2 linked regions of the Caenorhabditis elegans genome follow. The protein of the gene in region 2 interacts with the protein of the main gene of each other region in a pairwise test. Each region holds a gene or a part of one and is shown on either strand. Other genes may lie near its edges.

Region 1 (5,424 bases), on a different chromosome or scaffold from region 2:
CTTGAACACAATATCCTCGAGATCCGGTGCTGACCAACACTTTTCTGGAAATTTTTTTTTAACTTCAAACTTTTTTATTTCAAAAAATTCAAAATTTCTGGATTTTCCGCTGATTTTCGAGCATTTTCACTATAAAATTCGTTTTCAGCGCCATTTTTTACTCTTACCCCAACTTTTTTACGCAATTGTAGAAAACTGTGCATTTTCTCGTGAGGGGCTCGGTGTTTGCGTACTTTTCGAGCTACAGTAACCCAAAATGGTCAAAATTGAGCAGAGAACACGGGGGAAAATGGTGCTAGAGTGAAAAAATTCGAGGAATCTGAATTTTCACTTAATAATTTGATTTTGTGCAAAACAATTGGATAAAATTTTTTTTGAAAAACAACTTTTAAAATTTTCTTCAAATTTTTATATTTTCTGCCGATTTTAAAACATTTTCACTATTAAATTCGTTTCCAGCACCATTTTTCACCCCTACCCCAACTTTTTTACGCAATTCCAGAAAACTGTGCATTTTCGCGTGAGGGGCTCGGTGTTTGCGTACTTGCGTACTATTGGGGCTACAGTACCCCAAAATGATCAAAATTTAGCAGGAAACACCAGGAAAAATGGGTCTAGGGTGAAAAAATGCGAGGAATCTGAATTTTAACGTCAAAATTTGATTTCGTTTGAAATTTTTGGGAAAAAATTCGATTTTTTTTCTTTTTTTTTTTTGATATTTCAAAACATTTTTTCACAACCAATTTTTGTAGTTTATAGTAAAGCCTAGACTACAAACTACAGTAAACAAACTAACGATTCATTGGAGAAACACCGCGAAATGTTTCATCGAAGAAGTTGGGCGGCGAGGACCAACATCCGGACGGGCGGTTTAGAATACGATCCTCATCATCTTCAGAATCCTTATCATGGAGGTTCAGTGATAGATCAGAGTCACATAGGCTCGGGGAGTACCTGGAAATTTGAGTTTAGAGTATGCTGGACTTTGGCAGACCAATACTGAACCAAATTTTCCAAATTTTCACAAAATCTAGATATTTTCAACATTTTTCATATCAAAATTCACGCTCAGCGTCATTTTTTACCCCTAAACCCGCCTTTTCAGCCGATTTTAAGATTTTCTGCAATTTGTCGTAAGATGCTGGGTGTTTGCGCACTTTTCAAGCTACAGTAACCTCAAATTTTCAAATTTTACGCTAGGACTCCAAAAAAAAGTATTCTAGAAGTGAAAAATGGTGAGGAATTCGAATTTTTATGTTTCAAAGGGGGAAAATTTGGATTAACAGGGAAAATGTTCCTTTTTTGCGATATAAAAATGATTTTTCAACAATTTTCATGCCAAAACTCAATATCAGCATGATTTTCTACCCATATCTCTACTTTTTCAGCAAAATCGGAGTTTTTCTGTGCATTTTTGCGTCACGCTCACGGTGTTTGCGGACTTTTGGGGCTACCGTACCCCAAAAGTCTCAAAATTAACGATAGAGACCCAGAAAAAACGGGTAACATGTGAAAAACGATGGAGAATTCGAATTTTCACCTCATAATATTGGATTTCCGCCGCTTTGACTTCAAATTTTCATTTTCTTCCTCAGGGTCCGGCCATTTTTCATCAAGTGTCGGAAGTAGGTCGGCTACTGAGTATTCTGCTTCTTCCGCTATGCTTTTACTCGTTGATTCCATCATTTTTGATAAGGAAATCTGAAAAATGGTGTTCTGGTCTGCTAGACTACAAACTACAAACTATAAACTATAAATTGTAAAATATATACAAAAAATTTAAATTTGGCAGATCAAATCATTTTGAAACTGGCAAATATTGGTCTGACGGACTACAAACTATAAACTACAAACTACAAACTACAAACTACAAGTTATAAACTACAAACTATAAACTACAAACTACAAACTAGAAACTACAAACTACAAACTACAAACTACAAACTACAAACTACAACTATAAATCTCTGACTTCAAAATAGCAGATCTAGCCAAACAAAACTATTAACCTACATATGACAGACTCAATCAATTTTAAACTTGCAAATTTTGGCCTGATGGACTATACACTACAGACTACAAACTACAAACTACAAACTACGAATTATAAACTACAAACCATAAACTACAAACTATAAATTACCAACTTCGAAATAACAGATCTAACCACACAAAACTATGAACCTGCAAATGGCAGACTCAATCAATTTTAAACTAAAAAACATTGGTCTGACGGACTACAAACTATAAACTACAAACTACAAAAACTACAAAGACTACAAACTACATCTTCACCACCACCTCCTCATCCAGCTCACCTCAAAGCTTGTTTTGCTCGGCTTAATTCTGTTATTTTTCATCGCTGCCGCCGCTGCAACGTCATCAGAGTTACGGGGAACTGCGTAAGCGGATTTCGATTTAATAATACTCCGAAGACACGGATGAACCAGAAATTCGGCGTCAGAATCCTCTTCTGAATCGTCATCACCTCCAGAGGAATTGTCGTTGTGCAGCCAGTCGGCTGAGTAGGACTGGAAAAAAATTCAGGAAATTTGGAGGTTTTAGAGGCTTCTTTTTGGTTTTTCGATATGAAAATCGAGTTCCCGACATTTTTTACCCTGGAAACTTTTTTTTTTCGAGCTTCTAGCTCATTTTTGAAATTTTTTGGGTTACTGTAGCTCCAGAAGTACGCAAACACTGCACCTTACGACAAAATGCAGAATGCTTTGAAATTGACTTAAAATGGTGTTTGAGGGGTAAAAAATTGTGTTGAAAATGAAATTCGGTGTGAAAAATTCCAAAAATGAGTTGCGTTTTTTTGCCGAGAAAATTTTTTACTGGAAAATTTGTAGAAATTTGAAATTTTTCACAATTTTTATTAAGAAATTCGGATTCTCCGTAATTTTTCACCCTTAATAAGTTTTTCTCTAAACTTCTGGCTCAATTTTAAGTTTTTTGGAATTACTGTAGCCTCAAAAGTACGCAAACACAAATCGATGCACCATACCTTACGACAAAATGCACAGAAAATTAAAATTGGCTGAAAAAGCTGGGAATGGGGTAGAAAGTGGCGCTGAATTTGAATTTTGATATGAAAATTTTTAAAAGTTGCTGGTTTTCGAGAAAAATTTCGAGTTTTGAAAAAAAAAAAATTTTTAATTTTTTTGTTGCTTTTTGCAAAAAAACCGGTTTAGGAGCAAAAAAACGCTGCTGAATTTGATTTTTATAGTTAAAACCTTTAAAAATCAACGGTTTTCCTGAAAAAACCTACCCTCCGAATAACCGTCGGACACTCGTCATCATCCTCGTCCTCCGTGTTCTCCTCAATCGGAAAATCATCGCATTTTCGACATTCAAATGCGCTCATTTTGTGCTGAAATTTTTAAGACTTAAAATTTCAAGTAGTGGAAAAGAAGTTTTGGAGCAAAAAAAAAAAAAGAAAAAAGGAAAAATAAAAGTGAATCTCTGTTCCAGACATGCGCGCTGGAAAAAATGATGAATGGAGTGGATGAGAGAGTGAAGAGAGTGCAGAGAAAATTGCGTTGAAAAACAACTCAAAAAAGGGGATCATGGAAAAAATATTCAGAAAATTTTCAAAACTTTTGTTCTTGAAAAATTCCAAAAAAAAATTTTTTTTCACCGAAATTCCAAAAATAATTTTTTTTTCCAAAATTTAACTTCTCAACAATTTTTTCGTCAAATTTTACAGCCGAAGCCTTTTTTACCGAGTTTCTAGATCAATTTTCGAGTATTGCGGGGGTACTGTAGGTTCAAAAGTACGCGAACACCGGACCTTGCGACAAAATGCACAGAAACTCAAAATTGCCGGAAAAGACGTGGTAGGGGTAAAATCAAGACCTGAATTTGAATTTTTAGATGAAAAATTGAGAAAGTGAAAAATGAAAAATAAAGAAAATAAGTTTGGAAAAAAAATTTTCTAAAATTTTTTTTTCCCGAAATTCCAAAAAAACTTTTTTAAATCAAAATTGAAGTTCCCTACGAATTTTTTGTCAAATTTTCCAGCCAAAGTCTTGTTTCCGAGTCTCTAGCTCAATTTTTAAGTCTTGCGGGGTACGGTAACACAGAATCTCAAAAATGTCGGAAACAGGTGTGGTATGGATAAAATAAGGTGCTGAGTTTGAATTTTAACATGAAAATCAGGAAAAATCTTGATAAAATAAAGATTTTCGAGAAAAAAACATTTTGCCAAAAACTCAACTTTTCGGGGGTACGGTAACCCCAAAAGTACGCAAACACCGGACCTTACGACAGAATGCACAGAAACCGAAAGTTGTCGGAAAAGGATGGATTAGGGGTAAAATTAGGTGCTGAGTTCGAATTTTAGCATGAAAAATTGATGAAAATTGAATAAATAAAGATTTTCGGGAAAAATTGCTAAAAAAAATTTTTTTTTGCGATGTTTTTTTCTGGCTTATAATTTTCACCAATGTTATTGGCTATATCATATCACGAGTTTTGACATGTTATCTCAATTTCCTCCCCCCCCTTTCTTCACTCCATTTCCCTCATCGAGAGAGCACACACATTTTCCAATAAATTCCGCGCATTTCCTGCTCTCTGAGGGTAGCGTCTTCTTCACACTAATCTCCCGACGAGATAGTATGTGAAAGTGAGAGACGCAGAGAAAATGAGAGCAAAAAAAAGATGTAGTAATGAGTGGGAATAGATTAAGGGGTACCCCCTGAAAGAGGGGGGGGGGGGGGGGTGGGGAGGTGCAGGTTTTTTTCGAAAAACCAAAAAAATTTCTCAAAATCCAACGATTTTCATAATTTTTCACATTGAAATTCGATCTCAGCACCTCATTTCACCCCTAGAACACTTTTTTCAGAGGATTTTGAGATTCTGTGCATTTTCGCGTAAGGTGTGCGGTGTTTGCGGACTTTTGGGGCTACAGTACCCCCCAAAAGACAAATTTGAGCAGGAAACATAAGAAAAATGTTAGAAATTTAATATATAGCCCTATAATTTATTTCCAGGCGAATATATCTTCCGAAAAAGAAATTTTGAAAGAAAAAACTAAAAAAATTGAATTTTCAATGTTTTCAGGTATTTTTTGATAATTTTAACTGTCAAATTCAAGTTCAGCGCCTCATTTCACCCCTGGGACTGTTTTTTCCGATGATTTTGAGATTCTGTGCATTTTCGCGTGAGAGACTCGGTGTTTGCGTACTTTTGGCGCTACAGTAACCCAAAAACGTCAAAATTGTGCAGAAAACGCGGGAAAAATTGTTCAAATTCTCGAAAAACGGGAAATTTGGAAAAACAATTGCAATTTTTTTCGGAAATTTTCAAATTTGAGCAAGAAGCTTAGGTCTGCTAGTTCTAAATCTGTAGTTTGTAGTCTGGCAGACCAAAAAAAAAATGTTGGAATAGATTAAGGAGCACATGAAGACGCCGAATTTT
Region 2 (7,757 bases):
TTGCTTCAATCTTTCAATTGCATTCGGAGTCAAAAGTGGTGTTTCTAGTAGAACTTTATAAAAGAGAGCTTCTTTTTCCATATTTCTTTCCAACATTGCGTCAAGCATCTTGCACATTGCTTGATCATATCGATCCAATCTTTGTGCTTGGGTAAGTCCTTCTTGTCCAGCGATCATTTCCTTCATGAAGAGAGCACAGTTCGAGTAGCCTTGATATTGTGCGTAAAGTTCGCAGAGCCATAGAAGCGCCAAATCATTTCTCTTTTTATGATCAGCCAAAACGAATTCTATCAACTTTTCTTCAAATGGAGTACAATCTTCCCAGAATCTAGTCGTCAGCCGGACAACTAATTTCTGATACATCAACCTTGCTCCACCAGCAACAACTCGCCGTTCTGCTTGAAGAACTGATTCATAAGCTAATTCAAACATCTCCGCAGCTTCTTTATCGTCAAATACAACGGCTTCTTCTACCAAGTTGAACGCCTTTTTCGCTTTTTGAATGACCGGAAGAGTGTTAATTTCTTGAAGTGACTGTTTGACAATCTGGGCTGGAACGCGATTGCTCATATTCGGTTCGTGGATTGGTGTTTGGGCGATTGCCATTCCTTCACTTCTTGCCTTATTCCTTGCTTCATATTCTTTTTTCCTTTGTTGCTGCAACCACTCATATCCCGGTCCAATTTCTTTGTTCGTCATTTGAACAGCCATTAGTTCTGATAATTCTTGACGATTCGGTTCTGTTCCAGCGTTTGCTATTGGTGTGTATGATGATGCGAATGCAGCTGGCATTTCTGACGGTAGAGTGTAGAGTGAGATCTTGACAAGATTCATGACAGTTTCATGATTCAGGCATTCCATAATAAATTTGGCTGTCATATCGATGGCTTCAGTTCTCGCATCCTTTGCATTTACAGTGCTAGTGGATGGTCCTGCTTCGTCATCGTCATCATCATCATCTTCGAATATTTGATTTTGAATCTTGGGACGTTTGGCAACTGGTTCTGCAGGATGCTGTGGTGGCCGTGGCGGTGCTATTTTTTGAATCAGTTCAGGTGGAATCGACTGTTGTACTTCTCTGGGTGAAGCTCCCAGATAGTTTGTTAACATTGTGGTGATCTTTTGCTGGAGAGGAACAGATGCAGGCAATTTCAAAAAACGTAGCAAATTATATTTGAATGATTTTCTCAGAAATTTGACTTGTCCCTTGCTGAGCATTGGTGGTACATTTGAATGAAGAGCTTTTATAACATCGAAGACACGTGGCAACGCATTCTCCCATTGAGGTCGACAACGAGTAATCATACAGAGTGATTCAATTACTGTTATAAGATTTTGTGATGTTGCTTCCGCGACTGTTGTTTGCTTTAGTAAAGCACTGAAATTCTCCTCGGCTTCCAACTGGGTTTTATGATAGGATAGGAATCTATGACTTCGTGGAACATCTGATAGAGAAATCCTATTGAATCTAGTATTTGCCTCTCTTGCCCAGCTTATGTTGCTACCAGTGGCCAACTCTCTTGGCTTTGGAGATTGACACAAAATAAGAGCTTCCAGAAACTTTACGGTAACAGTTCGGACTCCTTCGTGATCATCGCTAACCAGCATACAAATTCGATTCTTGAGCAAATTAAAAGCATCCCAGCAGCTCTCCGCGTTGTCATTTTTATCCATGATTGCGAATTCAAGAACGATCGGATATAAGTTTGTTGATGCAACGACAACTCGTTTTATAACACTTTCATATCGTTTAATAGACTTATTGGGAATAAGATAAAAACTATATCTTTCGACAGTTTTGTTACATAACGTGAAGTCTTTAGCGCTTGCTTTGAGAAGAAAATCGACGAGAAGGCATAGAATCCTTGAGTCGTTCAGCTCTGCGAATTCCAGCATTTCGGTTAGAAAATTGTCGAGAATACTGATTGAGAGACTCGGGTCGATGAGCAGATGCATTGCCTGTAATTAAATAATTGAATATCGACTAGTCATTTCCCGGTAGATTTTTGTTTTAGTTCTTTGAAAAACTGTTCTTTTTATTTCCAAAAACACAACAAAAAGTAATTAAAATTTTGGTAGAAAACCATTTGTAAAAACTTACTGTAGAAAGAGAAAGAAGTTTCTTTTCGATAGTCTCCGCATCTCGAGCTTCTTTTAAAGCCTCTCCAATTCGTTCACTCGCCGTTTCATTCTCCTCGTTCAATCCCTGGATGTAGTCCATCTGAAATATTTAACGGTAACTTCAGAAAAAATGAAATGAGGGCCGGCAATTGCAATAGACAAGAATAATTGTATGAAATGACATAAATAACAATTAACAACCTTGTAATTATAAGTTATTTAAAGAAATTTCTAACTGTAAATGACGGAAATATATAATTATTCAAATTTAAGAAAATTCAACGAAAAATAGAAATTGAAAAACTTAGTGCGCGCCAAGTGTCAGTTGCTGGCGCACTTCGCGATTTGTTGGCGCGTTTCTCGTGCATGAATTGGAACCTCCAAAACTGCATTTCAGACCATTTTTTCATTGCGAATTCTCTGAAATTTCAGTGATTTTTTTTTCTATTTTCGACATGAATCCCGTGGAACCCGCGGATTTAGTCGATATTAGAGAACAACTACATTCTGGCTGTCACATAGTTCAGGCGAAGGTAATATTAAGATAAAATCTTCTATTATTAGAAATGCTCACACATTTTTCAGGGGTTCAGTTTTCTTGCCAATCGAATTATCAACAAAGAACTAGATGCGAAAGATGAGAAAAAATATCGGAAGCTGCTATTCGATTGCTTTGTCGTGGAGGAAGACATACTATTCAGATTTCTGATTGACACTTTGCCAATTCTTCTTATTAGAGGTAATCGTACTTTTTTTTTGCAATCTAAAGCAACTTTTTCAGGATCAAACTCACCGGAGACTCTATGGGAAGAGTTTACACTTCGTGCACCGAGAATACGTCGAATTCAAAGAGCTTTTGGAATGATGATAAGCCATTGTAAACCGTCATTTTCGTGAGTTCAAAAAGTGTATTCCTTTGTATATGGTAAATATTTTTCAGAAAATTTCTGGACGTGGCAGCAAGAATTGACAGTGAAATCTTGACTAAAATCTGCATTAGCAGCGAGTTTGGATACAACTTTTATCAATATATCGCAGTGCTTTCGTTTACTGGATTGCTATCGGATAGTCAGAAAAGGCTAGTAGGAAATTGTGGATTGGCCCAAAATGTGTTCTTAAAACATCAACCAGATTTGTACCCAACTGGGCACGAGAGTGAACATGACCCGGAATCTTTTTTGAGAGGTAAAAATATTTAATTGTTTGATTTCTAACTAAATAATTAAATTTTCAGAATGTTCCGCAGAAGATCTTCTCAGTCATCCTCTACATAATATTGATCCATTTCAACGTCATAAACTGATGCGAGACAGACCGGCCGTTCTCGAAAGTAAAAATCTTCCAAATCACATTCTCTACTTACCTTACGCGGTTATGCTCAGTCAGTACAAACAAGTCATTGTAAAACTTGTTGAGCAATCAAAAATGGCCGATCATAAACTTGCTTCGGAGAATCGAGTCAGTGGATGCAGGGATACATATTCATTTGCTGCTCCCGATTTTTCCGATCAAGATCTGACTTTTGAAACATTCATGTATCACACGATAGCTACTGGAAAAGTCACGTCTTTCATCAAATACGTTGAGAACTATCACGAATCGCTAGGAATCCTTCAAAAAGCTCATCTTCTTCCAGCACTTACTGTTTTTCTGACTCATTCATCTACGAATCCATCTCTTCAAGAAAGAATTTGCAAGTTAATAGCCTTGTTCGTCAAAAAAGCTCCAGAAAATGCGGATCAATTCGTGCTCTATTTCATTACATTATACCAGAAACCATTCTTTCCAATACACCGGCACCTGCTTCTCGAAACTATCAAGGATCTATTTGTTAATCGAGTGAGTAAATTCAAAAGTTCTCAAGAAATGTAAAATAATTATTTTTTTTCAGTTCGTCATAAGTTCTGCCTTCGGCTTCCTCAAAATCACTGCTTGTTTAGAAGGTGATCGTGTAAGATCATTGGAATGCCTAGCAGAGATCATTCCAAAATTCACACAGTTGTTCGAACCAATGACTAGTCTCTGCGCCTTGAAGAGGGATGATGGGTCCGACGAATCATTTTATGCGGAGCTTCATTTATTGAAGGAGTGCTGCAAAGTAACGTAAGTTTTGTATCATTTCTGAAATAAACAAAAATCACATTTCCTGAAATTTCTCACTTCAACTAAAGAATTTGCAGGGAAGACAACGAAAAAGCTCTTTCAAAGATCAGCAATTCATTAAAAGAATGTACAGGACCTCGGTTGGCTGCCATTGTGGATGCTGTTACCGATTTGATCAAGTGTGGAGTTCTTGATACAATAGGCGCAAGATCCATGCTTACAAAAAGAGCCAGGCAAAGAGGTTGCGAGCAATCATTAGGAACGTATTGTCGGTTATTATCAACATCCACTATCCCTGAAGAAAACGAGGAACAGGCTCGGATTTTGAGAATGTCTTGTATCGAGGAGCTAGCAAATCTCAAACAAAACGATAATCACACAGTTGCTTCAGAAGCGTGGAGATCGCTAGGAGCATTTGAATTGGATGAACTCGAAAAAGGACTGAAAATAAATCCTGCACAATTTGCCACTCTATTCGTCAAATTAAGAAAAGAAGTTCAAAATGGATTTATCGACTTCCTGAGTCTGTGTTTGCACAAAGAAGTTGAATCGTACCAACGACCACTATACAATACTAGTGCTCAGGATGTCAATGTTTCACCGTTGCTCACAAAAGTGGATACCTTCAAAGATAAATTGATTATTGAAAATAAGAATGAACCATGGTTCTGGTCAGCTTCACTCTCATTATCTGCATCTATTCTTCAGCTCACAGGCCCTACCAATCGGGCTCAAGCATCTGTGCGCCTCCTTCAATCCTGTTTGGAAAATGTTGTTCCAGCAAGTTCACACGATGAAATGATTCGATTGATGGCTGGATGGAGAATATGTATCAGAGAAGTGCTCCACGTGCTCACTGAGTCGAAAAGTAACGATATTCTCTGGGCAAGAGATCAGATCATCAATACTGGGCGAACAAGTTTAACGAACAAGGCTGAGTCAGTTGACAATATAATGATGATGCTCACAGCTTTGGCAGATGCTATCGATCAACAGCTTAGAAACATCGAGAATGATGAACAAGTTGAAGAAGTATCCAAGGCTCAGAATCCGTGGTTGTTATCCGTTTATGAGTTTGTTGCTACCCGCTTGCCGAAAAATTTGAAGGAGAAACGAGTTGCGAAAAATGAGCCAATATATCAATTGATAACCCATTCAAATAAGTCTTCCCTACTCACTGCCATATTCTGTTTGCGTCTTCTGTATTTAAACCCAAGTGTTGCTGCATTTTACAATGATGAAGATGTTGGACTCACTGATGATCGGATGCTTGTCAGTTTATTGCAAGATTCCACGAAAGAGCTTAAGAAAGAGGAAATTCCTGATCGAAAAATGATGTGGGTGACTGCGGAGGCTTACGGTGCTAGTCAGATGAGTGCGAAAGCGTTTGAAGTTGCGTACAATATAGTTATTGACGAGAAGACAGAAAAGTATGAAGAAACGGAGCTGGTTGATGATGAAAGTATTGAAAAGTTCTTTAATGGATTGATTTCCTCTCCAAAAAAAGATCTTAAAGAAATAGAACAGAATAATAAGAAAGTTCTTGAAAAACTTTGGAATAATGGAAACAATGAAGTGAGGAGAAAAATCTACGAAGGATTAGCTGAGTTAGCTCTAATCTCTGGAACAGGTCGCAGCAAAATGGTCATACCAGCTGGAAAGTTACCTGAAGGCATATTGAAAGGAATTCTTCAGTTGTTCGATAAGAAAATAAATGTCAAACCGGAAACTCTTCGAAACATCATCCGCTGTCTTGTTAATCACAGAAGAAATGATGGACGATTCCTTCCACCAATTGACTGGATGAAGTTCTTAGAAAGATCGGAATGGACAAAAGCTGATACGGATGCTCGTTTGGCGATGATTACGTTGGCATGTGAACAAAATATCTCAGAAGTAATTTTCCATTTTTCGAGTTCTTTGACTGTGAAGGAACTTTTGGTACTTTCTGAAAATCTACGATCGGTTTCAAAATTGTTCCCTAGAAAGGAGTTTACGATGATTCTTGTTCAAATGGCCGTTCAAGCGAGAAAAGAAGATGTTGAAACATCGAAAAAGCTTTCAATGGCTCTATCAGATCTACAAAAAGATTCAACTGTTCATAACTTTTTGATGAAATGTCTTCCGAAACTGTTTGACATTTCTGGAATTACTGATCCAATTCTGAACTCGATAAAAGATCCAGACGCATTCGGAGGTCAAATTTCCAACTGCTTTGATGTATGGTTGGAAGCTCGCAGAGGTGAAAAGATGAACATCAGAAGAATTTGTGACATTTTTGGCAAGGAGGAGAGTAATTCGAAGAAGAATGCGATTTGTGCATTGATCTCTCACGAATCAAGAACACTTTCAAGGAAGATGAGATTTGAAAAGCTTCTCGACGTGATTACTGCAAGCCGCATCGCAAGAACATTCGGCGGATCTATGCAATCATTCTTTTCCATCTTTCTTTCAATCATCGTCAGCAACAATGATACTGTCGAAATTCCATTGTGTTGGTTTGAAAATCAAGAACATGTTCCTGCGATGATGATCGCTGCTAAGCAACCATTTTACAAATGGATTGTTGAAGCTCCAGAAATGAAATCCAATGCTCACCATGTGAGTTTATTTTCAATAGAATTTTTATAATGTATCGCAAAACTCATATTTTCAGTTCGGGTCATTTTTGTCGTATTATGTGGATGGGCCGGAAAAACAATATTACGAATATTGGCACACAGAAGGGGCAACAGGTGCTGCACTCATATTTAATTGAATTTATTTATTTAAATGTATATTTTCAGACTTGCTCGCCATGATTGTCTCTGCCTACCCAAATGAGACCTTCCCGAACCTTCTTACTCAAACCGATGAGTTCTGGAAATCTCTTCTTGGTATTGCAGATGTTGGAAAATGATTATTCCTTTTCTCTCAACGATCTCCTTATTTATTATTAGTTATTGTTTTAAATACTATCAAATGTTATATGAGTATTTCGACTGGTGTCTCCTATTTTGTTCGGTTACAATTGCAATATACATATTTATTTTGTCACGATTTTTATTTATTTTGATTTTTCAAACGGTATTTCTGCCGATATCTACTTGTGTACCGTTAGTTTTTTTGTACCTTCAAAAAACGTATTTTTAGAAGAATGTCGGCAGTTGAACAACATATTCCCAACGACCAATTCCTGCAAAAGCTGACGGCATTTTATAGAGATTCAAAGATTCGAGGACCAAAAAGTGTATATGTTACAATGAAGCCATGTAAGTTCGAAAAATCATAACTCCTAAAAAATATAAAAGAATTTTTAAAAAATTATAAAAATTTAATGAAACGTTTTCAGATGACGGTCGAACCAAAGCGATGCCAAAAGGAAGCACGTTCAAAGAGGGTGACGAAATTTCATGTATCTTTCGAGCCAAATGGGGAAGCAAAAAGATTGCCACAGAGGTTAGTAGACCGAATAAAACTAAACGAATTTATAAAAATTTGCAACAATAAAAACGAGCTAATTCTTTTTGAAAAAAACAATTTAAGAATTTTTA

The links.
Region 1: the proteins of F25G6.9 (region 2) and jip-1 interact in a two-hybrid assay, tested with the Caenorhabditis elegans proteins (one large-scale study listed by BioGRID).

What each region holds. Positions count from the first base shown.
Region 1 is NC_003280.10:1,324,944-1,330,367, reverse strand, and holds the start of jip-1 (PID domain-containing protein), read right to left. Parts: upstream 3,374-5,424; 5' UTR 3,368-3,373; coding exon 3,272-3,367; intron 2,532-3,271; coding exon 2,319-2,531; intron 1,702-2,318; coding exon 1,541-1,701; intron 955-1,540; coding exon 797-954; intron 45-796; coding exon 1-44.
Region 2 is NC_003283.11:8,564,775-8,572,531, reverse strand, and holds F25G6.9 (Signal recognition particle 14 kDa protein), read left to right. Parts: upstream 1-2,531; 5' UTR 2,532-2,576; coding exon 2,577-2,654; intron 2,655-2,706; coding exon 2,707-2,860; intron 2,861-2,902; coding exon 2,903-3,014; intron 3,015-3,061; coding exon 3,062-3,306; intron 3,307-3,355; coding exon 3,356-3,960; intron 3,961-4,012; coding exon 4,013-4,224; intron 4,225-4,301; coding exon 4,302-6,825; intron 6,826-6,880; coding exon 6,881-6,959; intron 6,960-7,010; coding exon 7,011-7,123; 3' UTR 7,124-7,257; downstream 7,258-7,757. Other genes in the region: symk-1 (DUF3453 domain-containing protein), read right to left, coding at 1-1,959, 2,102-2,221; F25G6.8 (Signal recognition particle 14 kDa protein), read left to right, coding at 7,361-7,475, 7,556-7,662.